Nothobranchius furzeri: one gene and its partners. The protein of the gene in region 2 purifies or fractionates together with the protein of the main gene of each other region. This does not show direct contact. Links are inferred from orthologs where the notes say so. Each region holds a gene or a part of one and is shown on either strand. Other genes may lie near its edges.

Region 1 (5,407 bases), on a different chromosome or scaffold from region 2:
GTCAGATGAAACCAAAGTAAAACTTTTTGGTATAAACTCAACTCGTCGTGTTTGGAGGAAGAAGAATACTGAGTTGCATCCCAAGAACACCATACCTACTGTGAAGCATGGGGGCGGGAACATCATGCTTTGGGGCTGTTTTTCTGCTAAGGGGACAGGACGACTGATCCGTGTTAAGGACAGAATGAATGGGGCCATGTATCATGAGATTCTGAGCCAAAACCTCCTTCCATCAGTGAGAGCTCTGAAGATGAAACGTGGCTGGGTCTTCCAACACGACAATGATCCCAAACACACCGCCCGGGCAACAAAGGAGTGGCTCCATAAGAAGCATTTGAAAGTCCTGGAGTGGCCTAGCCAGTCTCCAGACCTCAACCCCATAGAAAATCTGTGGAGGGAGTTGAAAGTCCGTGTTGCTCGGCGACGGCCCCAAAACATCACTGCTCTCGAGAAGATCTGCATGGAGGAATGGGCCAAAATACCAGCTACTGTGTGTGCAAACCTGGTAAAGACCTATAGTAGTCGTTTGACCTCTGTTATTGCCAACAAAGGTTATGTTACAAAGTATTGAGTTGAATTGTTATTATTGACCAAATATTTATTTTCCACCCTGATTTACAAATAAATTCTTTAAAAATCCTGCCATGTGAATTCATGGATTTTTTTTCACATTCTGTCTCTCACAGTTGAAGTGTACCTATGATGTAAATTACTGACCTCTGTCATCATTTTAAGTGGGAGAACTTGCACAATCGGTGGCTGACTAAATACCTTTTTGCCCCACTGTAAGTGATGTTCTGTGCAGAAATTTATTAGACATAAAAAATGCTGCTTGTTCATAGATGACCAGGCTGGTGCAACAAACCTGAGCATTAGCTGCATGTAAGCTAAAGCCGGGCGTACATTGTGCGACTTCTTCACTTTTTTGAGCCGATTTTCCACTCGTACAAGAATCCAGAAGATCCGGGCGAGTTTTGCGCCGAGCGGTCGTGTAGTGTACAGGGGGTTACGAGAGGCGATTAACACCACGTGACCAGCTACAGATCAGCAATCGTGAGGTCGCACGGACTTCTGGTGTTTGATATTTCGCTCGTCCCTCGTGAGGGTATCGCACTGTTGAAGCAGCGCTGCGAGCAGCTGCGACCCAAAAAGTATCAGAACCGCTCACGGCGCTTGCGCAGTCCTGCATCAACGCCGCTCGCTCGCCATTTCCCTAATAACACACGCTGTTTGTTTTTATTTCTACACGTTTGTTTACTCACAAAGATCGTCAAGAAAGCGTGTTTGTCGTGTTCATGTCAAATTAAACTGATCACAAAACACAGATTTACTTTCTTTATTTCGTTTTCCTCATCCAACCCCCATAAATCCCTGTGTGTCCTCCTGCAGCACTCCCGAAGGACAACAGGCAAAACAAGACAAAAAAGTCTGACGTGTTGAGTAAAAACTGCTATTTTTAGCATATTTTTAGGGCCGACGTGTTGCTACCAGACGTACAGTGTGAGCAGTCAGGTCGCATCCGAGAACTGGGTCGTGCAGTGTGAGCACATGACTCGTGAGATCTGCCCTGCGAGGAAGTCGTACAGTTCGAGCTGAAGCTGAGTGCTACGAGTGAAAAAGTCGCACAGTGTCCACCCGGCTTTACAGGATAGGATCAAAGATCAGAAACAGCTTGGACTGACAGCTGGACACAGTGACACACACCTGCTGCAGGTAGCATCCAGAAGAACCGTTTCAATTCTTTGGATTAGTTTGTCCATATATGGTTTCCCCCCCTTTTTCCACGCATCATCCAAGACAGACCCAGTCAGCTGTAAACACAAAACACTCTGAGCTCCTCCTTAAATGTGAGCCGTGGCAGTAAAATCCCTGCAGAAACGATTCTAAACACGTCTGAGAGAATTTCGACACCTTGAGCAGTTTTACGGCGCAGATGAGATTCGCATCCACGGACACAGAAAGCAGACTGTCCAGCAGGTCCTTCAGAGCCGTGAGGAGGACGTCTGCTCGGTTTGGAGGTCCTTTGCTGCTTTTTATCTAGATTAAAGTAAAAAGCAGGTATTATAGTGGTGCAGCACACAAACACATGCGGGCAAAGTTCGTCTAGGTTTACAGATTAAAACATCTGGATTACAGATATTTTGAGAAAATCACTCATCTTTTAAACTAGACTCACTTAGCTTTTTATTAATGAGCGTGCACATAATAAAATACCAATTATTTGAAAAATAAAACCAAAAACTTTATTTTATTCACACTTTTTAACTCATTCACTGCCAGCCGTTTCCTGATCGCTAACGGCCTTCGCTGCCAGCGTTTCTCACCGTTTTTACTGTTTTTTTAAGAGTCACAGAACGTTGCGCGCTAGCATGATGTCGACGCCAAAACAACCTAAACAAGGAGGAGACTCACCTCTTACATCAGGAAGAAGCCGCGTGTTTCGAGCGTTATCCGTTCTTTCATAATCCGTTGTCGAATTGTGATCGGCAGACGCTTTTCCGGTTCGCGCCTCACTTTTTTTACAGGAACGGCCCAAAACGATCTCCAAACACATGGATGGTCTGCTTCCTGATCATGTGATCTGTGACGTATGCGGATGAAGATCGGCTTCAGGGCTGAGATGTTTGTTCTCTCAGCGCGGGGGCTCGTTCTGATGCTCAAACAGTAAAAAAAATGCAAATGACGACTTTAGTCGTCAATGGCAGTGAATGAGTTAATAAACTGTCTTATTTCAGGAAGATTTGACTCCACATTTGACACATTTTAAGGATATAAACAAAACCTGCCGGCACTCAAACCAGTTTCCTACCGTACACATTTGGTGCATTTTGCAATAAAAATCCAACAAAACGACTGAAACTGGGAGTTTAAGAAAAAAAAGTGCAAAAAATAGTTTGATGCAACTAAACAATAATACAAATTATTTAAATTTTTTACCATGCTGTAGTTCTTTTTTTAAACACAGAGCAGTTTTGTTTACCTGTTTTCCCGCAGATACGACACAGCAAGAACACACCTAAGATGTTTAATTTTATTTATTTTTTTTAAAATGCAGTAATACTTTTTACACTGACAGTTTATATTCTTTTGCCAAATTCTTCCAAATAAAAATGAGATCAGGTGCATTTTTACATGAGAAAGTCTGTTTAAAAAGAGAATTTTACATGCAAACGATAAATAACGTTTTACCTCCAGGTGCAGGTAGAGCTCCCCCAGAAACAACACAAAGGAGTGGAACTTCTTCTGGATATCTGGCTCTCCTCCAACAACTGCATCCCTTTTCCCATACTCCGTGTGACATCTACAACAGACAACAATCCCATCTTAACCAATCCATTTTCATTTGTAAAATATTCTAAAGTCGATTTAGGAAAATGCCACAAGTAACACATCTCGTCCTTTCGATTACCGTTGCAGGAGCAGCTGACGGAAGCTGCCACTTGGTGAGGTGTAGGTGAGGTGATGGGAAAGGTAGTTGCAGAGTCTGGCCCCGGTGTAGGAGAAGTTAGGGATAGAAGTGGACTGCAATGACGACACAAAAGTTTCAGCTTCCCCACAATATGGGTTTACTCTATTTGATCAATTTAAATGTGAATTTCTAAAAAACGACAACTGTTACCAAACCTGTGTGAAGATCAGTTCCACCAGCTCCTTCAGCAGCTCCTCAGTGATAACACAGGAATTGAGAATACTAGCTATGTGCTCCACGTCAACCTCAAAGGAGCCCGGGGAGGAGCTCAGGTGACCGAGAAACTCTGTGACCATTTCAGCCAATGAGAAGTCGGGGAAATAGCTTTCACTGTCATCATAATAAGCGGGTTGCTATAAAGAATAGAAAAAGGGAAATGCACATGAAAAATGTCATTAGCAGAGACTTTGAGGTGATATAAAATTGTGTAACTGGGTTGAGCACTGATGTGACAACCCATCTTACTTCATTTGCGCTCGATCCAAAGGGAACAAACTCTGGAGCATTCGCCGACAGCGTTGATGACTTGACCAAGAAATCAGCCGAATTACGTCCTCCAGACAGAGACGCATAGTTGAAGCTCACGCTTTGTTGGGAATAGCCTTGTTTGACAACCAGAAAGTAAAGAAAAAAAAAAAACAAGTATTCAGGCTTGTTATGACGAACATAAATACTTTAAAATGCTTTTTATCTGCTCTGACAAAGACAACAAGTGTTCCTAAACTAAACCCTAGGTACCGGGAATTAGTGCCGAATCGATTCAAATGTCAAAGGTGCCCATCCCTGTCATATAAGGATGCTTTATATATATATATATATATATATATATATATATATATATATACATGTTCTAAATAAAAGAGACAGATTATTATGCTGCAGCCGCCATTGTTGACCCCACCCCCTCCGCAAGACCAGAACTTCCAACATCACAACACTTGGTCTGACTGAGCGCTTCCAGGAGAAATAACAATTAAATTATGAAAATAATAATGAGTGTTTGGAGGAGCATCCTCCGATCGTCTCTCTTGTGTGAGCAGTGTCCCTCTCTCTCTCAGTCGCTGATCGAGCGAGCGGAGCGCGCCGCATGACAACCTGCTCAGTTAACATAATTCACGGCCCAAATCCAACAGAACCGGTCGGGCTGATTTGGTTCCGGTTCGGTCTCAGGTTACAACTCCAGCGCTCAGCCCTGCAGTACCACATTAAGGCGGAACCACTTGGTAAATGTGGAGGACGCTCACTCTGACAGATTTGGATGGTGCGCTGGTGCCGCCGTTAAAAAAACAAAACTACATTCCACTATAATCGATTATGGCGTACTCTTCTACGATGCAGAATCGTTTATGTCCGCATCCCGATGCATCGATTATTTTCCTCAGCTCTAATGTGCGTAACGAATAAAATGCCAGTTCGTCTGCATGCGTCGGGGTAATTCTTTCTCCATCAAAATAAACGGTCAAATACGGGAACTATCCGGTCAACACAACACAAGCCCTGCTTTTGACTGTTTTGTTTTCTTGTGAAAATTGTTGGAAAGAGATAAAATTTAACTTGATCACCACCAGAGCCAGTGCACCGTTATCTCTGTGACGGTAAATGGGGGAAAAACAAATTGATCGGATCCTGCACGTCTTTTAACACATTGGTCAGGATTGACGCACTTTGTTTTCATTTAGTTGGTTAAAAAAAATTGGGCTTGAGTCGGGCCAGAGACTCCTGAAAACCTTTTCGGACCGGGTCGGGCTGGGGCTCCACCCCCTCGGGCCGGACACGAGCTCAGATTTTAGGCCCGTGCAGGGCTCTAATTGTCGGCTTCACCAAAACTGACAATGACGGGGCAGAGATGGCTCCACAGCAGAGGGGGAGCAGGAGGCAAAGAAAATAGCCTCCAGTTTGGAGCTGTTAAGATGGAGAAAATTAGCCGAGAGCCAGGAC
Region 2 (5,128 bases):
TACATGCGCTTAGCTCGCGTTTTATTACGTCATATCACAAAGTTTCATTAGCAAGTGCGCTAAAACCTTTTATACACAAAAACACAAGTTTTAAACGTTTTTCGATGGAAAAAACTTCAGAACTTACCGATATACAAAACTCGTTTGTTGGCAGCCATATTGATATTAAGTTTTCAACTTTGACCCGGCCGTTGATTGGTCGAATCTAGCATATGCCGCTTCCGGGATTTACTTCACTCTGCCGACCTCTAGTGGTCAAAAAGTTTCTCCACCCAAAGTATCATGACTGAACATCGTTATTTTCAGCTTCAGGTTAAATAATAGTTTAATTCTGTAAGTCAGCGTGAAGAAATGAACAAAATTCTACACGTTAATTGTGTAATTTCAAATAAATTTTGTTTGGGCCTTTTGGCCTACCATATTTTCAGATTTCATGACCAAAAACAAATGATTTATTGTTATATGTGCAGGAACTGTGTTTCCCGGCACATTACGTACCTGCCAAAAAACAATCAGGTGTAAAAATAGATACGAATAAAACTAACATTCAAAATGCAATAAAAAAGCTAAATATAAACCATTAAAACGGTATAAAATATAAACAAAACATGCAACAAATGAAATAAATGAAATGGTTGCCAAAATTTGGGTTGGGACCCCTCTGCGGGATGCAAAATGTAACATTGTGGTCAAGAAATCCTTGGATCAAACAAAAATAATTTTATAAATTGCATTTAAGTATTTTTAAGTGGTAAATTATAAATCGTTGCAGTGTTCCATTTTATTTAACTTTTAGCACTGCTCCTGTTGTTTAGTCAGCAACATCTGATTAAACATTGAAGTCAAATTAACTGATATTTATAGATAAAAGTTAATCAGCATTCATCGTTTACTCGTCCTTTATGCATTGGTTGAATCAGTCATTGTTTTTGTCAGAAAGTCAATTTAGCGAATCAAAGCTTAAAATTATTGCCTCATTTGTAAGAATCTTTCCCCCCACCCTGATCCAGAGTAGACTAATGAAGTGGTATAGTGTCTGATGCTCACAAACATCTTTTCATGTAGCATTTAAAACACAGAGACTGGGAATCAATCCATCAAGCCTTTATTGAAAATACCGCACAACCATGAAAATGTCACATGAAGGCAAATGTGAAGTTTTCAAGCAGTTTAGAACAAAGATGTTTTTCTCCTTTGCAGCAAAGTAGAGCAAATGCTATTATTTCTGTTTGCATATTATAGATATGAAGGAACTAAAAATGTTTCCACTGTGACATGTTTCTAAAGTACTTCCTGTTTTCAATTGTTGCACATTTAATGGACTCGGGTGTTTGGAGTCCCTGTAGTGATGTTCATCTCTGCCCAGTTTACTCCACCCTGAAACAACACAATCACCTGATTAGCAATAAAAAATGGTGTTTTATCTAATAAGCAACAGAGAGCGTACAGTTTTCAGGATGTTGCAGCAGCAGCAGTGGTCATGCCGCCAGCTTTCTGCGTGGCTTCTTTCTTCGCCTGGTGGGCCTGCAGCACAGCAACGGCCTCCTCCACCTGAACAAGAACGACGCTAATCAACCAAAAGGAGATGCTTCAGGAGTCAAAATGGCGAGGTCAATGAGCTACCTTTGAACGGAGAGATTCGTGTGACTCCAGCATGTGCAGCAGCTCTGAGTTGTCGATCTCCAGCAGCATGCCTGTGATCTTTCCAGCCAGGTTGGCGTGCATGCTCTGAATCAGTGGAAACAAACGTTCTCCTGTATAAAAGAAGTAGTTATAAATCAGTCTAGTGATCAAAACATCATTCCAGCTCTTGTATTTTAAAGTTGAGTTTAACCTAGCATCTGTTTCTGCTCCTGAGGAGGTGCAGCAGCCAGCATGGAGGCCGTGAGAGGCTCCTGGCCCTGAACGTGCACAGCTGGCTGAGCCTGGATGGGACAGATAGGATCCCTCAGAGAATATTTACAGAAATGGGTGTTTTACAAGACAGGACAGTAAAATAATACCTGCTGTAAGGCAATAGGTTGCACCACTTGGGGGTTGGGGTTACGGACACCGGTGGCGTATTTGTAAGGAGGCATGGCCCGGGGACCGGAGACTCCCATGGATGGACGAGGAGCCATGCCCTGGTTTGCTGCTGTCAGTGAACACAAGAAATAAAGCTGTGAACATGAGCTTTGGGGGGATGCAGGAAAAATAGTTCAAGTTTTAGCTTCAAGTGGAGGAGTTTAAGTATCTCGGGGTCTTGTTCACGAGTGAGGGAAAGCTGGAGCGTGAGAATGATAGGTGGATTCGTGCTGCGTCTGCAGTGATGCAGTCGTTGTGCCGATCTGTAGTGGTAAAGAGAGAGCTGAGCCGGAAGGCAAAGCTCTCGATTTACCGGCCGATCTACATTCCTACCCTCACCTGTGGTCACAAGCTTTGAAGAGTGACCGAAAGAATGAGATCGCGTATAAAAGCGGCCAAAATGAGTTTTCTCCGCAGGGTGCCTGGGCTCTCCCTTAGAGATAGGGTGAGAAGCTCGGTCATCCGGGAGGGGCTTGGAGTAGATCCGCTGCTCCTCCACGTCAAGAGGAGCCAGTTGAGGTGGCTCGGGCATCTGGTCAGGATGCCTCCTGGACACCTCCGTGGTGAGGTTTTCAGGGCACTTCCAAGCTTCCAGCAGAGCCCAGGGATCCAGACCCCACCAGGCAGCCACTGGGATTGGTCAGGCAGATGCCAAAAATCTTAAACTCCCTGACCCGGGAGCCATGACCCAGGCAGACCAAGGCACTGCACTCCACACCAGGTGTGGCAGAGAGAGGGGAGATGAAGATCTATATCATCAAAAGAAGTCCCAGGAGAGGGGAGGAGTCAAAGGCCCCACCTGACATATACAGTCATACACAAACACAGTCACACACTCCCTCCCTCATGCTCACACATGCACACCCTATTCACTCTGGTCCCAGTACTGCTGCACATGGGGTACAACCATTACCGGTTCCAAGAGTTCGACCCTTTCTGCTGGGGGTGCTGATGAGCAGGCTCCCCCGCCCAACGTTGAGCACAGCAACCCACCACCCCAGACCCCAACTGGACGGCCGGATCGCCCTCCTAGCCTCCAGCCCCAGGAAGCCAAGCGACAACAGAGGTGTGCTAAGACCCCTAGTCTCCCTCCGCCTGCTCCAATATGGTGTTAGTGAGTGTTGATGAGGTGTATTCCATGGCTGTGGTGAGCGGGCAGTGCGGGCATCGTCTGGCCTATGCCAGCTGATGCCACCACACCACCACACCACCCCACTTGCACCCACAGCCCTCAGTGTTTAAGTGCAGTTTAAAATTGGAAGTGGGCACCGGCACTTGGGATGAGGCTGAGAAATCCCCCTGCCAAATGCCGTTGAATGTGCTCACTCCCAAGGCCCTAAGTGTGTGTTTGCGTGGAATGTTGTTGGTGGAAGTGCAAATAAAATTGGGGGGTAGGTTGCCACAGGAATGCGGAAATGGGGTCCATACCCATACCCCCTGACTTGTCCACCCCCCAAGGTCCTATGTGCATGACTGTGTGATGATGTGAGGGAGCAGGAGGAGAGAAATGTGTGGGGATGGGGAGGAATGGCTGGCTGGGCTTAGCCCTCCAGGGAGCCAGCTCCCCCACTGGCCCCAATAGGCACCTCTGTTGTCAAAATGCCACCCAGAGCATGGAGACCCCAGCCCATCCTGCCAGCAACACCACAGAGCCTCACGGAGTCCGAGGGCACCAACCCAGCCCCACTCCAGCAGAATATCTATGCCCATCCCTGCATTTGCACAACTTTCGGATTATAAAAGACATAGGACATCCAGGTAAGGTTGGGTCCTCCACCTCCTGGACTTCCCCCTTCTCTGTGATGGGACAGCAGAGGAGCCAAGGTCTACCCGAGGGCCCTGAGCCCGAGTCAGGCACTGCTGCATGTTCCTGCCTTCTCCCCGGCAGCATACATGTCAGGACCTGACCCCCAAGGCCCTGCCCAGATCGCCCCATGGGGCCGGCCGCCCCCACACCCCAAGCCCCCAGGCCCCCACCCAGACCCGTCCAGGGGCAATGCAGCTGCAGGGCAGTGACCCATGGCCACCGCCAAGATGTCCAAGGGGCCCCACTCACAACCGCCAGTAGTCCACCCCCCGAGGCCGAGAGAGCCGAGATTATTTTTCAATCTCAAACACACCTCTTGGGCCCTGAGAGCCACCGCCGGGACTCATGTGTCTTAGGTTGGCACGGGGTCCAGGCTGACGCAGCTGGGAGCTGGGCATTCCCTGGAAACCACCTGAAAGTGACGAAACTCCCATCAAATTCAATATTTACGCATTTTAAAAGTGCCGTTGGCAGATGCAACACCAGGAATGATGTTCTCACCTTGACCTCTGCCACCTTGTTGCTGCCACCTGGGGTTGGGTCGCATTTGGGCCAGCTGGTTCGGAGCATAGTATGTCGTCCTATTTTGGGCCTAAAGGGAACAAAAAGTGACAAATAAATAACCGGGATGATAACAAACATATGAAAACCTCTGATTAGCCTCTCATTAAAATGAATTAAACTAGGTACCCCAGCTTTAAAGTGTTTTTGACTATCACGTTACGACCCAAACATTTAGACCATCACATTTCCTGTTTAACATGCCATTCCCCAAAAAAGCAAGGTAATGTTGATATTTGATCATTAGTCGGATTTGAAATCCCACACCTGTGGCACAGCTGGCATGAAGTAGCCACTGGTAGGCTGGAACTGGCTAATGATGGCGTTAGCGGGCATGGCCCTCATGCCAGCGATGCGCTGCATGTACTGGTTGGTGAGGTGGGCTTTGCGCTCCTCTTTGCGCTGAGCGAGAGCCACGTAGAGCGGTTTGGAGCCAACGATGCGTCCGTTCATCTCCGTGACCGCCTTGGTGGCCTCCTCGGGTGAAGAGAAGCAGACAAAGCCAAAACCCTTCGAACGACCTTCTTCTAGCATCACCTAGAAAACAAAGGAAAGTAAATGACACTCATGTTTTATTTTATAGTTTAATTCGTTGACGATATTTTTCTCACCTTAGCGCTTGTAATGGACCCAAAGGGAGAGAACTCCTTACGTAGTTTCTCATCATCGATGGTGTCATCCAGATTCTTGATGTAA
Region 3 (4,553 bases), on a different chromosome or scaffold from region 2:
AACGATATGACATTTTTGGGCCGATATTAATGTCACCGTTATGGCCGATAACAGATAAACTGTCATTAATGCTTCCAAAATCAGCCGATTTTGTATAAAATGAACATTATTAAAGCTGAATTTACAGTTTGTACACACAAAACACACATTTACACTTCTGAGATGATTTCATTCACTGTGACTAGTCACATGACTAAACCAATACACATCACCCCCTCACCCTCTGAAACAGGCAAACAAATGGAAGCAAGATGGAAAAAAATATCGGTTGTTAATATAGGCCCGGTTTTATCTATCGGACTGATATTTTTAAAAATGACTAACATCGGCCGATACCGATATTGATGCCGATATATTGTCCATCCCTAATTGGACCCTAATCTGAAGACATGTTTTGGTCTAGAGGATCTTGGACAGTAAAGGTTCAACTGAACAGAAGTGGGATCCACTCAGTATTCACAACAGATAAACATGAGAAGGTTCTGTCAAGATGTCCGCTATGCATGGAGGCAGGGTCCACAGCCCTGAAGCTATAGGGCCCTGATGCCAAGGTGGCAAACCCAAGACCACAAAACCATGATGCCAGAGCCCTCACATTAGAGCCCTTAAACCAGGGGCCAATATCAGGTTCCCAAGCCAACAAGGTTCTTAGCTAGGGGCCCAAAGCACGGGTTCCCATTCCAACAACCTTGTTGCTGATGACACCAGACCATTCGCACCTCCTGGGAGGTTCACGGCTGACTTGGTCCTGTGTTCCATGTTTTCGTCTCCCTGCCTGAATAGAATTAAAATCCACAGGAAGTCCCACCCCCCAGCAATTCTGTTGTGAATGTTCTGAGATACACAGGACCCAAATCTGAGTCCAAGTCTGGTTCTGGATCATGCCTGCTAACATGTCAGTGTTGCAGCTTCCTGTCTCTTTATTGTTCTGAGCACATTTAGATCACCATAAATCAGACAGTCCATGCTCACCGTATAAACCCTACCCTGCAGAAGCAGCACAGATGTCCTGGACCGGGTTCCGGTCTGTGAGCTACAGTAACGGTGCGGCAGAACAACCCACAAACTTCACAATGTTTATTAGCAACATCTTAACAAGTTCATTGTAGGTCAACTCTTATCAACATAAACACGAGAGACTCACAAGGACGAGGTCTAGAAAGGGTTTAGCACGAGTGCACTGCGGTGGAGGTGGGGTCCTTTAGCTTTTAGAAGTTCATTTAATAATGGCCTGCTTAAAGGCACTGCCACAATACATGAGAGGGGGGAGGGGCAGGGCTACTGTCCATCACTCACACAACACAGTTCACTCTATTGTCTACTGTATAATGTTATATATTTATATATATTTATATACTGGAGGAGGGAGGGGGCTATAGGTAGATCTCGTAGAAGTCATCCAGCTCCTCGTGAAACAAGTCCCACTCGTCCTCCGAGTCTGTCACCTCGTCGTCGGTTCCTGCTGCCAGCAGCATCAGGAGCATCTCGCTCAGCTCAAAAGTCACCATCTCCTCATCATCGTTATCAAAGGAGTCGGTGCTGCCCCGCTCGTCCAGGATGTCCCACAGAGGGGTTCGTCTGGAGCTCTGAAACAAACACACACGCACACACAATGATTCAGTGTTTCTAGGCAAGAACTGTCTACCTGCGGCCCACCAGGGGGTGCTGTAATGCTATTAATGGCAGAGCATCACTATGTTCCACCACTACAATCAGAGTGGTTCTGGAGCTCTTTACCCGGTTCCTGTTGTTGGATCCAGGCTGTCTGCGCTGTGGCTGAGCCTCCTCCAGCCGGCCGTCAGGGAAGGCATGTTTGTAGAAGCAGTTAGACCCAAAAGGACAGGTTCCACGGCCTTCATCAAAGTATCGACAGGGCTTAGTGCTGGACACACAGACCACACAGCAGGTAAGACTCATGTCATTGTTCAGGTCCGGACTGGACTCAAACTGGTCTGGACCCATCACAGACACAAGCAGCCAGGTTCTCTGAGAAGTACTACAGTGCAGACTAGAAACACAAAGCTGATCAGGTCCTGGTTTATAGACCGGTTCACCTAACACAGACCACAGAAGCACCCAGATCTCTGATGAACCACATTTAAAATTTTATTCTGACATATTTTATCAACTTGGTTTTCTGTCTCTTTATTCAACGTCTGAAGTAAATAAACAGTCTCTACATGTTTGAGTCTCTTCACCTGAGCAGGAGTCATTTGGCCAACAGTTAGCGTTAGCTATCAGGAGACACTGCTACAGATTTATTAACCAGGTCTGATATCAGACACAGCAGAGTTGTTGTGTTGATAAGTTCTGAAGATGACAGCTGAGTTTAGATGATGTCATTTTTCTGTCTCATTTCTATACCTGCAGATTGTTAGGAACATGGTGATCTAGCCACACTCAAACAGATCCTCCTCTGTGATACCCGAAACTCACGACTAAGTTGGACTACAAAGTGAGATTAGTTTAGCTTAGCTTAGGCAGTCCCCAGGTTCTGTCCACAGAACTCTAAAACATGTGGAACCAGAATGAGCCGGACACGTTCCTGAATGGAACCTTATCAGATAACTGAACTAAGGGGACAGCGGCCAGGAGGAACCGGGCAGAACCATCTGGTGGGTCCCATTTTTATAAAGTCTTTGGTATGACCCGACCGGGATTTGAACTCCGATCTCACTAGGCAGGTGAAGGCGGAAGCCAACACAGCGTGCCTAACACACCCCTAGCTGACAGCCAGATAGAATGGAACACCCAAAGCCAAGTCCAGAGCATCTGGTGTGAACCACCACAACCTGCTTGTGGTCTAAACCTTCAGAACCAACTGATCTGTTGTTGGATCAGAAGATTCAACGGCTCAAATGATATTTATGGTTTTAAAATTATTTACAATCAACAACTTTAAACATTTAAAAATGTCTTAAGTAAAATACTTAGTGAAAACATGCGGTTTATTGGATACTCTATTTTTCTAAATTTTCTAAAGAGAAGGAGGAGTTCAGACAGGTTTCTATGGGCCTACCCCATGCCGTCCTTGTACTTCTGGATGAGTTTCATCTTGTCCTCCTTGTCCTCCACCCAGTACTCACTGGGAATGACAAAATTGGATGTGATGCGACACTCTGGACAAGACCTACGAACACAAAGGGAATATGTGGTGAGAGAAGTCGTCTGTCCAGAGTGGACCTGCTCAGGTTCTGTCTTCTTTGACACCTTCAGATAGGTCGCCCACATCTCCACCCTTTAGTGGTTCCAGTCTCCTGGATTTTCTAGAAGATGTGGTGTTTTGATGGAGCTTTGTCGAGTTTTAGCCAAACTGAAGTAGCTGTAGAAGCTAAGGTGCAGCGCTTACTGGGACCACTTCTTACTGGTAAGCTGGCTCATGACCTGCCTGTAACACTCAACTGTTTGCATCAGCTCTGTGGTCCAGGTGCTGGTCTTTGGATGGACTGAATAAATGTGTCACGTCATAAAGCATTTCAAGCTGTATGGTGGGAGGAAGTTGGACTTACTTGATTATTTTGCTCTCAAACTGCTTGGCACTCCTCCACTTGCGGATGCACTTTAGACAGTAACAGTGGCTGCAGTTGGACAGGATACCGAAACGACGCTCACTTGGGTTGGACTTCTCAAACACCACCTCCATGCACACGCCGCACATCATGTCCTTACTGCGCTGGATGGCAAAGGAGATCTCCATGTCTTTCTCATGGGCTTCGATACACGCCTACAAGTACAAAAGAGTTCCTGTCAGCAGATGTTTGTACGCTGCCATGTTTTACAGCTGGAAACTGGAATAAACAGGATTATGGATTTTACCACGACTCACATCAATCCAGATTATAATCTCATTTTACTACAACTGAACTGAGTTTACTGTAAATGTATGGCCTAAATCACTCTGGGGTGATGCTGGGTGTGAACTGGTGTTTTATAAATAAACAGAAGTTAATCAAACAGAATGAAAGCGCTGAAACGGTTGAAGCTCGTTACCTTTGTGTGCTCTGAGCGCTGGGCGTTGTCAGAGGGATGGAGGACCTGGAGGCCACACATGTCACATACGTCACCGTGGAGATAGGCACAGTTGATCCCATAGCGACACTCTCCAACAGCGGCATATGGACAGAGTTGCTTCTTTAAGTCTTTGTTGTCTTGGGATGAACTGCTGTCCAACTCCTCAATGACGGGGACAGAACTCTCCGGCTTCACCGGCTCAGCTGCACACAAAACAATAACAATAAAAACTCTAACTGGAAAGGTTTGACTGCCTCAGCCACAAGGAAAACTGCATTTCCTGTCTCTGATTCATGTCTCCCATATCCTTCAGGTGTCCCTCAGGGAAGTGTACTGAGTCCTTTGATACTCCACCCACTGACATGAGTTGCTTTGCTGAATTCAGCACAGAGTATTCAGTAGGGCTGCTCAATTAATCGAATTTTAATCACGATTACGATCTGAGTTTTGAACGATTATAAAAAACAAAACAAGCCGATTATTTGCTCCTCCCACTTGCGCTGCCCTGAGTTGCAAATGAAGCGCTCCTCCTAGGGTGTTGC
Region 4 (5,407 bases), on a different chromosome or scaffold from region 2:
GACTACCTGCACAGGTACGGAAGTCAGCTGCTTGTGGAGGGTTTGATTTTGAAGTTTAAATGGTTTTATGATAAATTGTTAAATATTTGTACAAACAACTAGTTTGTCTTTTTGTTCAGGTTTTACGGAAAGAACTCCTCCTATGTGCATGGTGGCCTGGACAGCAACGGCAAACCAGTAGAGGCGGTTTATGGACAATCTGTAAGTGGGCTTCACCCAGTTAGAGGCATTTTCCAGCGGCAATACTTGGTGCAACTCGGGAGGGTTCGGTTTGGTCTGATTGCTTTTGTCCAACGGCGCGTTTTGGTATTTTTCCCCTGCTTTCCCTCTACTTTTCAGTCCCTCTGTTTTGGTTCCAAGAGCTGAACCGGTATTTCGACTGTCGGCCACTGATTGGCTAGGGGGCGGAGTCACTGGTTGCTCCAGAGCCTTCTGTCTGCTGTCTGAAACCATAAAACTGAAGAGTGTTCAACATCACCTTTATTTTTGTGCAGAGTTGTTTCTGTGGAGCATGCAGGTCACCTCACAGTGTGTACTGATGACCTTGTGCTATTTTTGTCGCGTAAAGATCCCTGCACAAGCAAATGCTGTGGTCCCCCCCATCCGCTATGAGGGGTGCACCCACTTTTTGTCTCTGAGCAGGCAAGGAAAGCCAAGTACTCTGTGGTGAGCCGAGTTAACCCACGCTGCACTGAGCTGTTTTAGCCTGAGTAGTGCTGTTGGAAAAGGCCTGTTAGGTGTGTCTCATAGTCTCATGAATCTAGAATGTGAAATATTCATGAATATATTTTCTTTTCAAGAGTCATTGTTACACACTTGTTTTTTTCTTCCAGAAACTAAGTTTTCTAGGTAGTTTAACATTCTGATGAATGTTTATCAGTACTTTCTGATTTATTAATCCTCACGTAAATTGTTTTATTCTAATGCTTGTTAAAATAACCATTATCGCTCTTGTCATGTAGTTGGATAATTGAGAAATGATTGATTGCTGTTAAATGCCCAAATTAAATCTTCAGTTCGTTAAATCTTTTGAATTTTTTTTTTATCAGGAGATCCATAAAAGAGTGATGGCTTTGAGTTTCCGAGACTGCCACACTAAGATCAGACATGTGGACGCTCACGCTACTCTGAACGAAGGCGTGGTGGTGCAGGTGATGGGCGAGCTGTCTAATAACATGCAGCCCATGAGGAAGTTCATGCAGACCTTCGTTCTGGCACCAGAGGTTGGTATTAGATTATTAATATATTTTTTTCATTGATCTGATCAGTTTATTCACATGCATGTTTTTCCAGGGTACGGTGGCAAATAAATTCTACGTCCACAACGACGTGTTTCGTTACCAAGACGAGGTGTTTGGTGACTCTGACTCTGAGCCTCCAGAAGGTGAGAAACTGTTTTGTTTTATGACCTAAACATTTTTCTCTCTGAAATTGGTGTAATGTAGCAAGTTTAAAAGAGGTTTAAAAAACATTTTTTTAATATTTCTGTTCATAATCGGTCACTTTGGGTTTTTCAAGCAGGCTGAACATGAAAATAGTCTCCTACACCAATCTGCTGCATTAGCTTCTGACGGTGAAGCTCTAGGGTTAGAAAGTCCTTGACGTATCTGCGTCACACTGTCACTTGGCATTCATGGACTCCCTTCCAGTTTTCAATCCAGCGATCACATGTAGTTCAAGCAGAGCAAGAAACCAAAGAGGAAGAACTTTCATGCCAAAGCACAAAGGCAAAACGTGGAGCATTGTATCTTGTAAGTCCCTAAACAGCAATGGTAATTAAGATGGTTAATGGACAGTGTCAACCTTCTTTTATGTTTATAAAAACGTAACATTTAAAGCTAATATGAATATTTAGAATGGACTTTGGTGAGATTTGTTAATGACAAAGGTCAAGTTTGTGAACACAGAATTTGATAGTAAACAAGTAAAAATATTGCACACTCTGCCTTTAACATCCACCATTTTCCATTTTTTGAGATCTATAGAAACTGTATATTGATGGTTTACTGGAGCAGATTATTTGTAACAATGGTTAAACTGGTCCATGGGGATGGGTCTAAGGTAGAGAAATAATCCCTCTAAAACATTCATTTAAAATCAGTTTATTATTCCATTGATCAGGGTATCCGCGGCGTCTTAAAAGTCATGAATTTGATGAAAGGAAAATTAAGACCCTTAAATGTCTTAAATCGATTTAGTGAAGTCTTAAATTTGGTTGCTAACTTGAAAAAAATGTTGGCGAAAATTGCCGTTTATGAAACCAAATGCGTTCATGGGAATGAAAGACTTTTTGTTTTAGGGAAGGTGAGTCTGATCGGGTTTCAGTCGCTCTTTATAAGAATCTGTTTCAGAAAAATGAGGAGTGTTCATCTTCTTCACAAACCCATCTTTGTTAGTGGGTCACGAGTCGCCATTTGACCAATCACAGTCATTGACTACGTTTACATGCAGCCAATATCCGGGTTATGATCGGGTTAAGATAGGTATTCGGGTTTCTGAGTTGATCAGAATAACCCGTTTACAAGCATAAATAGAAAGAGTTACCCCTAACTTGCATAACCCGATTTAAATGCGGACATTGGGGTAGCATCAGGACGTATGGACTACGTCAAGACGCAATATCCGTCATTTCCGGTTCATTCTTTTCGGTTACCTTCTTGTATATTTCGCTGTCTCTGTACTTTTGGCCGTCAACAAAAGACAATGTTCATACTTTTCACCAGACCGATGAAGACAGAGGTTTCCTCATCACTCCAAAAGTGTGGTGCTGTGCCGCGACTCGCCATGTTGCTCCCAACTTGTTGTTTACCTCCGGTGTTCTGGCGCATACAAGATGTGTCGCTACTCAAAAGACCAAGATTCCTTGCGAACAGAGCATGCGCAGAACACACACTTTGATGGGGATATCCCGGTATGCGTTTACACGACCAAACATTCGGGTTAGAAAAGGGTTACCCCAGGTATAGTAACTGGGTTTTATAAAACCCGGTTATGAGCATGTCCAGGTTTTTGGCAGTGTTTACATGGACCTGCGGAACCGGGTTATTGTGAATATTCGGGTTTTTAAAGGGTTACTGGCTGCATGTAAACGCACTCACAGAGACAGCTAGGGAAAAACACAGCGGTAGCCGGTACCACGGCGCCGCTACTACTGTCGCTTCAACATCTGGCAGCGGCTGGGGCTTAAAGTTCGTACAATCATCAAAATCCCCTCCCAGATACCAGTTTTCTGTCCAGAACTTTTAGCAGGTTTGTCTCCTTGCAGTTTCAGCCTTCACTGATGTTTCCTGAGGCTTGTGTTCTTATTTTTTGGGAGGGGGAGGAGTTGAGTTCAAGTGTTGGTCAGAAACTGCTTTCCCAGGAATTAGACAGGTCCATCCTAACCTAAAGAAGATTCTGACAGACAAGCTGCTGCAATTGTTTTTTCAGATTTGTACAAGCTAAACCCTTTAGGCACGCCTTCCCTACATGTTATATAAGAGATTTGAAATCAAGAAGAAGAAAAACTTGCAAAACAGTATGGATCTGTTCTCAGTGAGATGTTTTTAGTGGAAAATGAACATAAATAGATCTAAAGATGTTACTGGTACTTTTACTATCATTCTGTTGTGGAAAGTCAGCACAAATATTCAGTGAAAACTTTAAAAAGCTGCTTAAACCTTCATTATTTTATAGTGGGCCTTTCTATATTTATAAAATCAGTTGATTGTTTAAAGTAACTGTAACTAAAGTTACTCAGAGCCACAGCAGAAGGTCCAGTCTGAGTTAAGCTGTGGTAGCTGCAGAGAAACTGAGAAACAACATTAAAGCTTTTGCTATTTGCTTGTTCAAGTTTAATTCAAATCGAACAAATAAGTCATCAATTATATATTATTTCTATGTATATTTAACAGTCATGCTGGAGATAAAAGGCAGAATAGATTAACATTTTAACTTTATCTGGTTACATTGAAGCTTCATGTCCCACAGTGAGCAGTCTGTCCCACATGTGGGGAGTTGGGATCTGGTCATCCTACTGAAGAATGATTACAGTAATTTGGAATATTTTCAGATGTTTTTATGTTTGGTGTTTTGTGAATTAGTTTCATAATAATAGTTAATTATTATATGATGATCCCTAATCATTATCTGATCAGTTCTGTTAGCTTATTATATTTAGCTTTCATGATTCGTAGGACTGGTAGAAAGTTGCTTGCATTTTGCAAAAACATCACATAAAAAATATATATATTTTTTAAATGTTCTCAATAAAATAAAAGTATATAAATGTCAGAGGTCACTACAAAACCCACTGTAGAATAGATGCACACCTGCAGCACGTGAGGACCTTGTTTGGGGGAGTTATTTTGTCACTTTTTTCACAGCCTTGGAGTTTGCGGGTATGAAAAATAGATGCATGTAAACTAAAAATAAATATATTTTGTTCGTCTATGCGTGCGGTTTGCATTTTTGTACCATGGGGCTTTCCATATTATTGCTACAGCCTCGCTGTCCCGGGTGGGACGTAACCCAACATGAAGTGGAAAACGAAGCGATGCAGTATTTAAAAACAATATATAAGTGTTTAACAGTTGATTAGTTCTTTGCGATAGACTTAATTTTATTTTTTACAAGGTCTTAAAAAGTCTTGAAAAGGTCTTAAGTTTAATTTTGAGATTCCTGCCTATACCCTGATAGATATGAATCCAGTTTTTTTTTCTTTAGTTGTACATTGCGTTGTTCATGAAATAGTTTTTACTGTTTTATTTTCAGAGTCTGAGGATGAGGAACCGGAGAGGGTCCCCTCACCTGACATCGCCCCCGAAGACTCCGCCCCCTTCTACGACCCAACCCCTTGGTACGGCTTTAACACCTTTTCAGAAGTTTACCGTTGTGTTTTCTACTAAAGTGCTTTAGCTTGATATTGCAGGCATTGTTGCCAAGTGCTAAAGAAAACTAAACAATTTAAGTTTTAATACTATTTAATGTAACTAATTATTACTACCTTGTCAGAGTTAGAAATGCTGTTGTTTTGACAAAACGGACCTGGTTACAGTTCAGACCCAGTGGCTCAAGGTGATGAGGAGGAAGCAGCTGCTGTGAGTCCAGAACCAGAACAGGAGACTGAGAAGGAGGTTGAGGCTGTTGAAGAGGAGCTCACGGCTGATGTGATGCAGGAGACTCGGACAGAAACGCACACAGCTGATGATCAGACAGAGAAAAGCTCCACCACCCCAGTCCCTCCAACTACAGAACCTTCCTCTGCACCTGCAGAACCTGCCCCCGCTGCCCCAGAAGAGAACAGGGTAGGTCTGAATACCTCAACAGCCTTTTAGCAAATTCAACCAGGAGCTCAAAGCAGTTGTTCTTCCATCTGGTCTTCCTAACAGCCTTTCTCCTGGGCATCGGTCACCAGTAAGAACCTCCC
Region 5 (5,407 bases), on a different chromosome or scaffold from region 2:
CACTTCCTTTTTTTATTTTATTTTGAAGGGTCGTAGAGGAACGGTGATGAACTTCCATCAGCTTTCAGCACACAAAGCTACAAGTCGTCACAATAACAGATCAAAGGACACGTGGAAGACAGTTCACAGACAAAGATGAAAGGAAGCGGAGGACAATTTGGCAGACAAAACGCCACCCAGTGGCCTCAGGTGGAAACCGATGAGACAAATGGTGATTTTGATGCTGTTCAATCGACAGAACGGTGGCGGGCACAAGTTGGAAGCAGTAAAACCATCAAAATAAGGCAACTTTCAATAATCTGTCCAAAGTGAGGGGTTGAAACAAGTCACTTATTCTTTCATAGTTCCCCCTCGGTATCCAGCCATAAAGGAAATCAAATATTTCTCTGTTTGAGCCCCGGGTCTGGAGAGGTCGGTCGCCCAGTTGAAACCACTTTGGTCCGGCTGAACGTCGGGAGCAGCTCAGCTTCCAGATCAGTCCGGTTCAACCACCTCCTGCTAAAGAATTCTGAAACACGACGTCTGAGGAGGAATCCAAATCTTTCAGCCAGCAGGAGATCAGAGAGCGAGGGGGAGGGAGGGGGAGTCGACTTAGCAGGAAATAAAAGTCTCGGACCGCTCAAGATGTGTTTTTTTTATTCCCTCACGATTTATTTGTCTAATTAAGGTTCTAAATTACTCCAAAGGATCTAATAAAACTTGAGAAGGTGGCTTTTGTTTTCATCAGATGCAGAGCTGGAGGCTCCTCCCCCTCCGGTGGCGCAGAAAGAACCGGTGATTTGAAGACGTGGTGCAGTCGATCCAAATGGGCCAGCGCATCGGTGCAGCAGTTATTTCAGAGCTTTGGCGTCCGGTGTGGGATCAGCGCTGTGGGCGGGGGCTTTCTGGGAGGGGGGTTTGGCAACATCCTTAGAGGCAGGGGCGGAGCCTCCGCTCGCCTGGCTGTGAGGTCGGCTGGAGGACTGGGAGGGATGGCGACGGCGACCGTCCCCACTGGACGCGTGTCTTTTCCGGCCTCCTTCCTCCATCGGTGGCTGGAAACAACAATAATTATCAGTATCAGAATTTATTTCACCTTTAATCTGGATTAAAACAAAAACTCTTACATCTATTCTGAAATCCTCCAGTCGTTTAAACTTGCTCAGGTGCTCCTGGAGTTTCGGGTCGATCTCCAAAGTCTTGGCTTTGGAGTATTTGAGGAAAGCCCAGAACTTCTCCAGTCCATAAAGCTGACCTGAGATCAGCAGACACAAACACAGTTTTATATACTTTCACCAACAAACGCTCGTTTAGGAGGCCTAAACTGTCAGAATGATCCGCTTCATGTTTCCTCACCGGCTTCGTAGTCTTTGACGGTTTCCTCCTGGAAGTCCTTAAAGATGTCTGGTCTGAACTTCTTCTCCAGACCGTAGCTGTAGTACCTGAACAAGCACTCTAAACCGTACCTGTCGCCCACAAACACACGAGGAATCAATTTCAATCAGAATTTAGAAACACAAGTTCTCAAAGCCGTCACCTCACCTGTAACCTTCTTTCCCGTCCTCCACCACCAGCTGTCTGAACTCCTCGTACATCTTCCTGTTGAAGTGATCCCGCAAGAAAAACGACCAGAAGCGGAAGAGCGTGTTCATCTCCTGCGATTGGCCGATTCCAAGCCGCTTCCGCTCTGTGATTGGTGGAGAGCAGAGATGGGGTTACTCACAATGAAGGATTACTCCTGTAGAATAAACCGTGAGGAGGCGACGTACCGTTGAGGCAGCGCCGCCGGTACTTGTGGTAAACGTGTTGCGTGAAGCCGTTTTCCTTGAGCAGCTCGTGCGACGGGTGCTGGAACTTGGGGAGGGACTGGGGGGTGCAGCCGATGTTGCTAAGGGCGGGGGTGCCCTCTGACGGGCTGGCGTTAGAGCTGGGAGGGAGGCACAAGGAGCAAGAGTTCAGTTAGATCCGAGACTGGGAGGAAAACATCAGCGGCAGCATCAGCACATGGACGTCCCACCTGACGGAGGCGGTGCGGGAGCGATGTTCTCTCGAGTCCATCACCCAGCCAACATGACACTCCAGCGGCGGGTTTGAGCTGTGCCGGGTCTTCCTCTTTCTGGGCGTCTGAAACAAACCCAACAAGCGTTTATCGTTCCTGTCAGTCTATAAGACCTCTCGCTTTACCAAACCGCTTCCCCTCACCTTGGCGTCAACCGGACGACTTTCCTTCACCACCGGGTAGAAGCGTGGCGTCATGGTTGGGTCTTTTCGGTGAGGGGTGCGAGGCGTGCGGGGCGTCCGGGCACTGCGGTAGTTGGGTGACTCGGGCACTGTGGTGGGGAGCGAGCGGGCTGTAGACGAGGGTTCGGGGGCTCCAAAGAGTTTGTTGGCTAGAGCGTCTGTAGGAACTGAAGACGACGCAGAAGGAAAAGTCAGGAGTTAAATCTCTAAAACCGCCGGCTCATTCTATTACAACCGTCTGAGTTTCACATTTCAACGTGTTTAGAGACGGAAAACAAATGAAACAATCCCGTTTTTATCCACTAGATCATAATAGACTCAACTCAGCCATCTGACCTCAGAAAAGAAACATTCCAAGTTTTTACTCACCTTCATAAAGGAAAACCATCGACTCTAAAACAGTCTGACTAATCGTTTCTTCTTGCCCAACAGTAGTTGGGTTGTCTTTATTAATATCAACATTTGAAGTTTAATCTTTTCCATGTTGCACCATCAGGTAGATGAAGCTGGATTAAAGCGGCTTTAGGTTTACACAAACACGCGTGTCCTTACTCTGTTGGGGCCGCGGCGGCCCGGGGGGGACCTCCTGGTTGGGGTCAACGGGAGGTTCTGGTGTCAGACAGTCGAACTCCTCACGGCTGATCAGGTGGACCTTCTTGAAGTTCTCCACCTCTTGCTGTAAAAAGAAATTTGAGAAAAGTTATTGTGATTTTCATCAGAGCAAACTGCTGGGATTGTCGGTAACTAGAACAGAAACTAACGTAGAACTGGTTTAAACCAGAAAAGCTTTCGCATGAACACTGTGAAATGATCAGACCTCATCTGCAGCAGTCTGGAGACCGAGACGCAGCAGCAAAGCACAGCAGCCAGAAACACCCTCTTCACCTTCATATCTGACACGAACTGTTCCCACACACACACACACACACACACACACACACACACGCACACAGCTTCTACTTCTACTCAGAAACCCACAGACACACACAGCCCTTTATCTAAAGCTCAGGGTAAGGACAGCTCCCAGGTGGTTTCTCTCCCTGATCCTGATCAGATGTGACTCACAGCGACGGGTAAACTCCGAGTCTCTTCCATTTTCTTCCTCCTCGACCCGGCGGCTCCGATCCCCAGGCCGAGACCTTCCATGTGGGGTTTATTTATAAACAAACTGCCTTTGTTCCGCGCAGCGCTGGATGAGTGCCGGTGAACACGTGAAGGTACCACAATGCAACAAAAAGGCAGCGAGGACAACAAAACTAAACAAAAACTACTTTGTGTTTCCATTCCACATCCAGAAACAGCTCCAGCTGCCACTGAATGCATCTCCTCGTCCTCCAGTTTCGTGCAGAAATGTCTCCAAAACGTGAGACAGAAACCGCCAGAGCATGCCCAGCACCTGCTGTTCTGGTGATGTCATCAAAGAGTGCAACCTCACCTTGATGGTGGCGTACTCGGGCTCGAAGTTGTCTTCCCACAGGTCCTGCTCGTAGTAGAAGAGCCCGTCGTTGATGACTTTGGCCAGCTCGCTGGTCAGCTTGGCGCGCGATGTGTGCTGACCGGTGCGGTCGCCCCCCGGATGTTTTCTCAGGTAGGGCGGCGTCTGCGTCACAATCAGGATCTTGTTGATGTCGTTGTCGTCCAGCTCACCGTCCGTCTCCTCGTCCGACCAGTCGGTGAAGGTGTTGCGGCGTCCGTCTATCTGCTCCATCTCCTCATCGAACATGAAGTCCAGCTCCTCGGGTTCGTCCTGCTCTGCTCCGTCCTAATCAGACAACATAACACCACATCATCGTACAATCAGTAGACATGCATCTGTAAACAAAAATAACAAAACGCCTCAAACCGTTGGATCAGAAGAGGGGAAAATGATTTCCTCACTCACCTTATTTCCTGAGACGACAGGGGATGGAGAGGAGCCGGGCCGAGGAACCAGAGACCGAAGAGATTCGTCCTTTTCTTTCTGCTGCAACACAGGGACCTGATGTGAGTCGCACAATAACGGTGGAGGTGAACCAAACACAACAAGATAATCTTCTGCTAAGTTTTCAAAGGTTTTCGGAGCTCACCTTCGGTCTGGCTGGAGAGGGTCTGGGCCTCTTCTTCACCTCGATCCAGGACTCGGAGTCCAGATCAGGGAGACTGGCGGAGAGGCCCTTGGGCATGGTCTTGAGGTTGGAGATATCTGGTTCAGTCTTGGTCAGTTGTTGAACTGGCGTGGAGGCTCTGGGAGACCCTGGAGAAGAGACGAAACCCCAGGTTGGTTTGATGTTTTAGAAACATGAAATCCCAACGAACCTTCCTCACCTCTGCGCTCTTCAGACATCTGTCTGGGAACAAACTCGGGGCAGTTGATGAGCTGGGAGAAGTCGGTGTGCGTGTGGTTGGGCATCATCAGACCAGGAAGAGGCCACTTCTCTGGGTCTTCCTTCCGCCGGATCTTCATGTCGATGATTTCCACCTCTTTGCTGCCCTTTAAAGCCTGGCAGCAGATAATCAATGTTCAGCTTCCAAACGCGTTTCTTTTTACTGTTCTATAAAAACAAACTCCAGCTCCGCTAACCTCGATGATGAGGTTGACGTCTGTAGTGAGCGCCTGAACTCTGTGGAAACTGGCGATGAGTCCGATGGGCAGGAAGCCCTCCTGATCCATCTTCCTCCGCAGGAAAAAGTCCCGCTCCAGATTGTCCAGACTGAAATAATACTCTCTACAGGGGTGAGAAGCGGGGTATTCAGAGGGAATTTGATGCACAATGAAACAAAACGAGGAATTTGTGGATGAATTTAGAATTTATCACATTAGAAACCAGGACAAGATCAGGTTTCAGCTCCAGATAAGACTAGTTTTACTTAAAGAGCAAGTCACCCCCTAGCAGCCACTCCCATTTCCTGTTTGAAAAATGCGCCACAGGGAGTTGTTTCCGGGCAGATCCAGATGGCAGAGCTGCTAACAAATAAACACACACAGGCTCAGTGGCACTGTGCCCTCATATGGTACCAGGAAACATCATAGGGTACCTCTTAGCCAATAGCAATGGCCGATTTAAATTAAAATGTAGTGCGGAGTATTTTACCTGAAGAGGGCGCAACACTGACAGTTTTAGGTAGAATATTTTCATTTTAACTAAGATGCATTAAAGTGCCAAATTATTGACTACCCATGTTTACAGCACGATTAGACACTCATTTA

What was found.
Region 1: the proteins of pabpc4 (region 2) and paip1 purify together in Homo sapiens (co-immunoprecipitation; 3 studies listed by BioGRID and IntAct, with this or other methods). This does not show direct contact. The link is inferred for Nothobranchius furzeri from reciprocal best matches to the Homo sapiens genes PABPC4 and PAIP1.
Region 3: the proteins of pabpc4 (region 2) and mkrn1 purify together in Homo sapiens (affinity purification with mass spectrometry; 3 studies listed by BioGRID and IntAct, with this or other methods). This does not show direct contact. The link is inferred for Nothobranchius furzeri from reciprocal best matches to the Homo sapiens genes PABPC4 and MKRN1.
Region 4: the proteins of pabpc4 (region 2) and g3bp1 purify together in Homo sapiens (affinity purification with mass spectrometry; 4 studies listed by BioGRID and IntAct, with this or other methods). This does not show direct contact. The link is inferred for Nothobranchius furzeri from reciprocal best matches to the Homo sapiens genes PABPC4 and G3BP1.
Region 5: the proteins of pabpc4 (region 2) and larp1 purify together in Homo sapiens (affinity purification with mass spectrometry; 3 studies listed by BioGRID and IntAct, with this or other methods). This does not show direct contact. The link is inferred for Nothobranchius furzeri from reciprocal best matches to the Homo sapiens genes PABPC4 and LARP1.

What each region holds. Positions count from the first base shown.
Region 1 is NC_091757.1:56,189,543-56,194,949, reverse strand, and holds part of paip1 (polyadenylate-binding protein-interacting protein 1), read right to left. Parts: intron 4,072-5,407; coding exon 3,935-4,071; intron 3,823-3,934; coding exon 3,625-3,822; intron 3,523-3,624; coding exon 3,410-3,522; intron 3,302-3,409; coding exon 3,190-3,301; intron 2,038-3,189; coding exon 1,912-2,037; intron 1,812-1,911; coding exon 1,705-1,811; intron 1-1,704. UniProt on the Homo sapiens protein: Acts as a coactivator in the regulation of translation initiation of poly(A)-containing mRNAs. Its stimulatory activity on translation is mediated via its action on PABPC1. Competes with PAIP2 for binding to PABPC1.
Region 2 is NC_091758.1:35,793,426-35,798,553, reverse strand, and holds the end of pabpc4 (polyadenylate-binding protein 4), read right to left. Parts: coding exon 5,044-5,128; intron 4,970-5,043; coding exon 4,700-4,969; intron 4,464-4,699; coding exon 4,373-4,463; intron 4,284-4,372; coding exon 4,185-4,283; intron 2,135-4,184; coding exon 2,004-2,134; intron 1,926-2,003; coding exon 1,835-1,925; intron 1,755-1,834; coding exon 1,624-1,754; intron 1,552-1,623; coding exon 1,453-1,551; 3' UTR 1,448-1,452; intron 1,378-1,447; 3' UTR 1,089-1,377; downstream 1-1,088.
Region 3 is NC_091741.1:64,131,139-64,135,691, reverse strand, and holds the end of mkrn1 (probable E3 ubiquitin-protein ligase makorin-1), read right to left. Parts: intron 4,215-4,553; coding exon 3,991-4,214; intron 3,725-3,990; coding exon 3,510-3,724; intron 3,131-3,509; coding exon 3,020-3,130; intron 1,883-3,019; coding exon 1,738-1,882; intron 1,587-1,737; coding exon 1,374-1,586; 3' UTR 1,063-1,373; downstream 1-1,062. UniProt on the Homo sapiens protein: E3 ubiquitin ligase catalyzing the covalent attachment of ubiquitin moieties onto substrate proteins. These substrates include FILIP1, p53/TP53, CDKN1A and TERT.
Region 4 is NC_091741.1:69,278,752-69,284,158, reverse strand, and holds part of g3bp1 (ras GTPase-activating protein-binding protein 1), read left to right. Parts: coding exon 1-14; intron 15-119; coding exon 120-201; intron 202-1,049; coding exon 1,050-1,223; intron 1,224-1,293; coding exon 1,294-1,384; intron 1,385-4,752; coding exon 4,753-4,837; intron 4,838-5,035; coding exon 5,036-5,285; intron 5,286-5,369; coding exon 5,370-5,407. UniProt on the Homo sapiens protein: Protein involved in various processes, such as stress granule formation and innate immunity. Plays an essential role in stress granule formation.
Region 5 is NC_091750.1:54,243,596-54,249,002, reverse strand, and holds the end of larp1 (la-related protein 1), read right to left. Parts: intron 4,926-5,407; coding exon 4,781-4,925; intron 4,700-4,780; coding exon 4,525-4,699; intron 4,454-4,524; coding exon 4,287-4,453; intron 4,199-4,286; coding exon 4,103-4,198; intron 3,983-4,102; coding exon 3,656-3,982; intron 2,897-3,655; coding exon 2,773-2,896; intron 2,388-2,772; coding exon 2,182-2,387; intron 2,104-2,181; coding exon 1,997-2,103; intron 1,907-1,996; coding exon 1,749-1,906; intron 1,667-1,748; coding exon 1,522-1,666; intron 1,446-1,521; coding exon 1,336-1,445; intron 1,235-1,335; coding exon 1,107-1,234; intron 1,035-1,106; coding exon 831-1,034; 3' UTR 601-830; downstream 1-600. UniProt on the Homo sapiens protein: RNA-binding protein that regulates the translation of specific target mRNA species downstream of the mTORC1 complex, in function of growth signals and nutrient availability.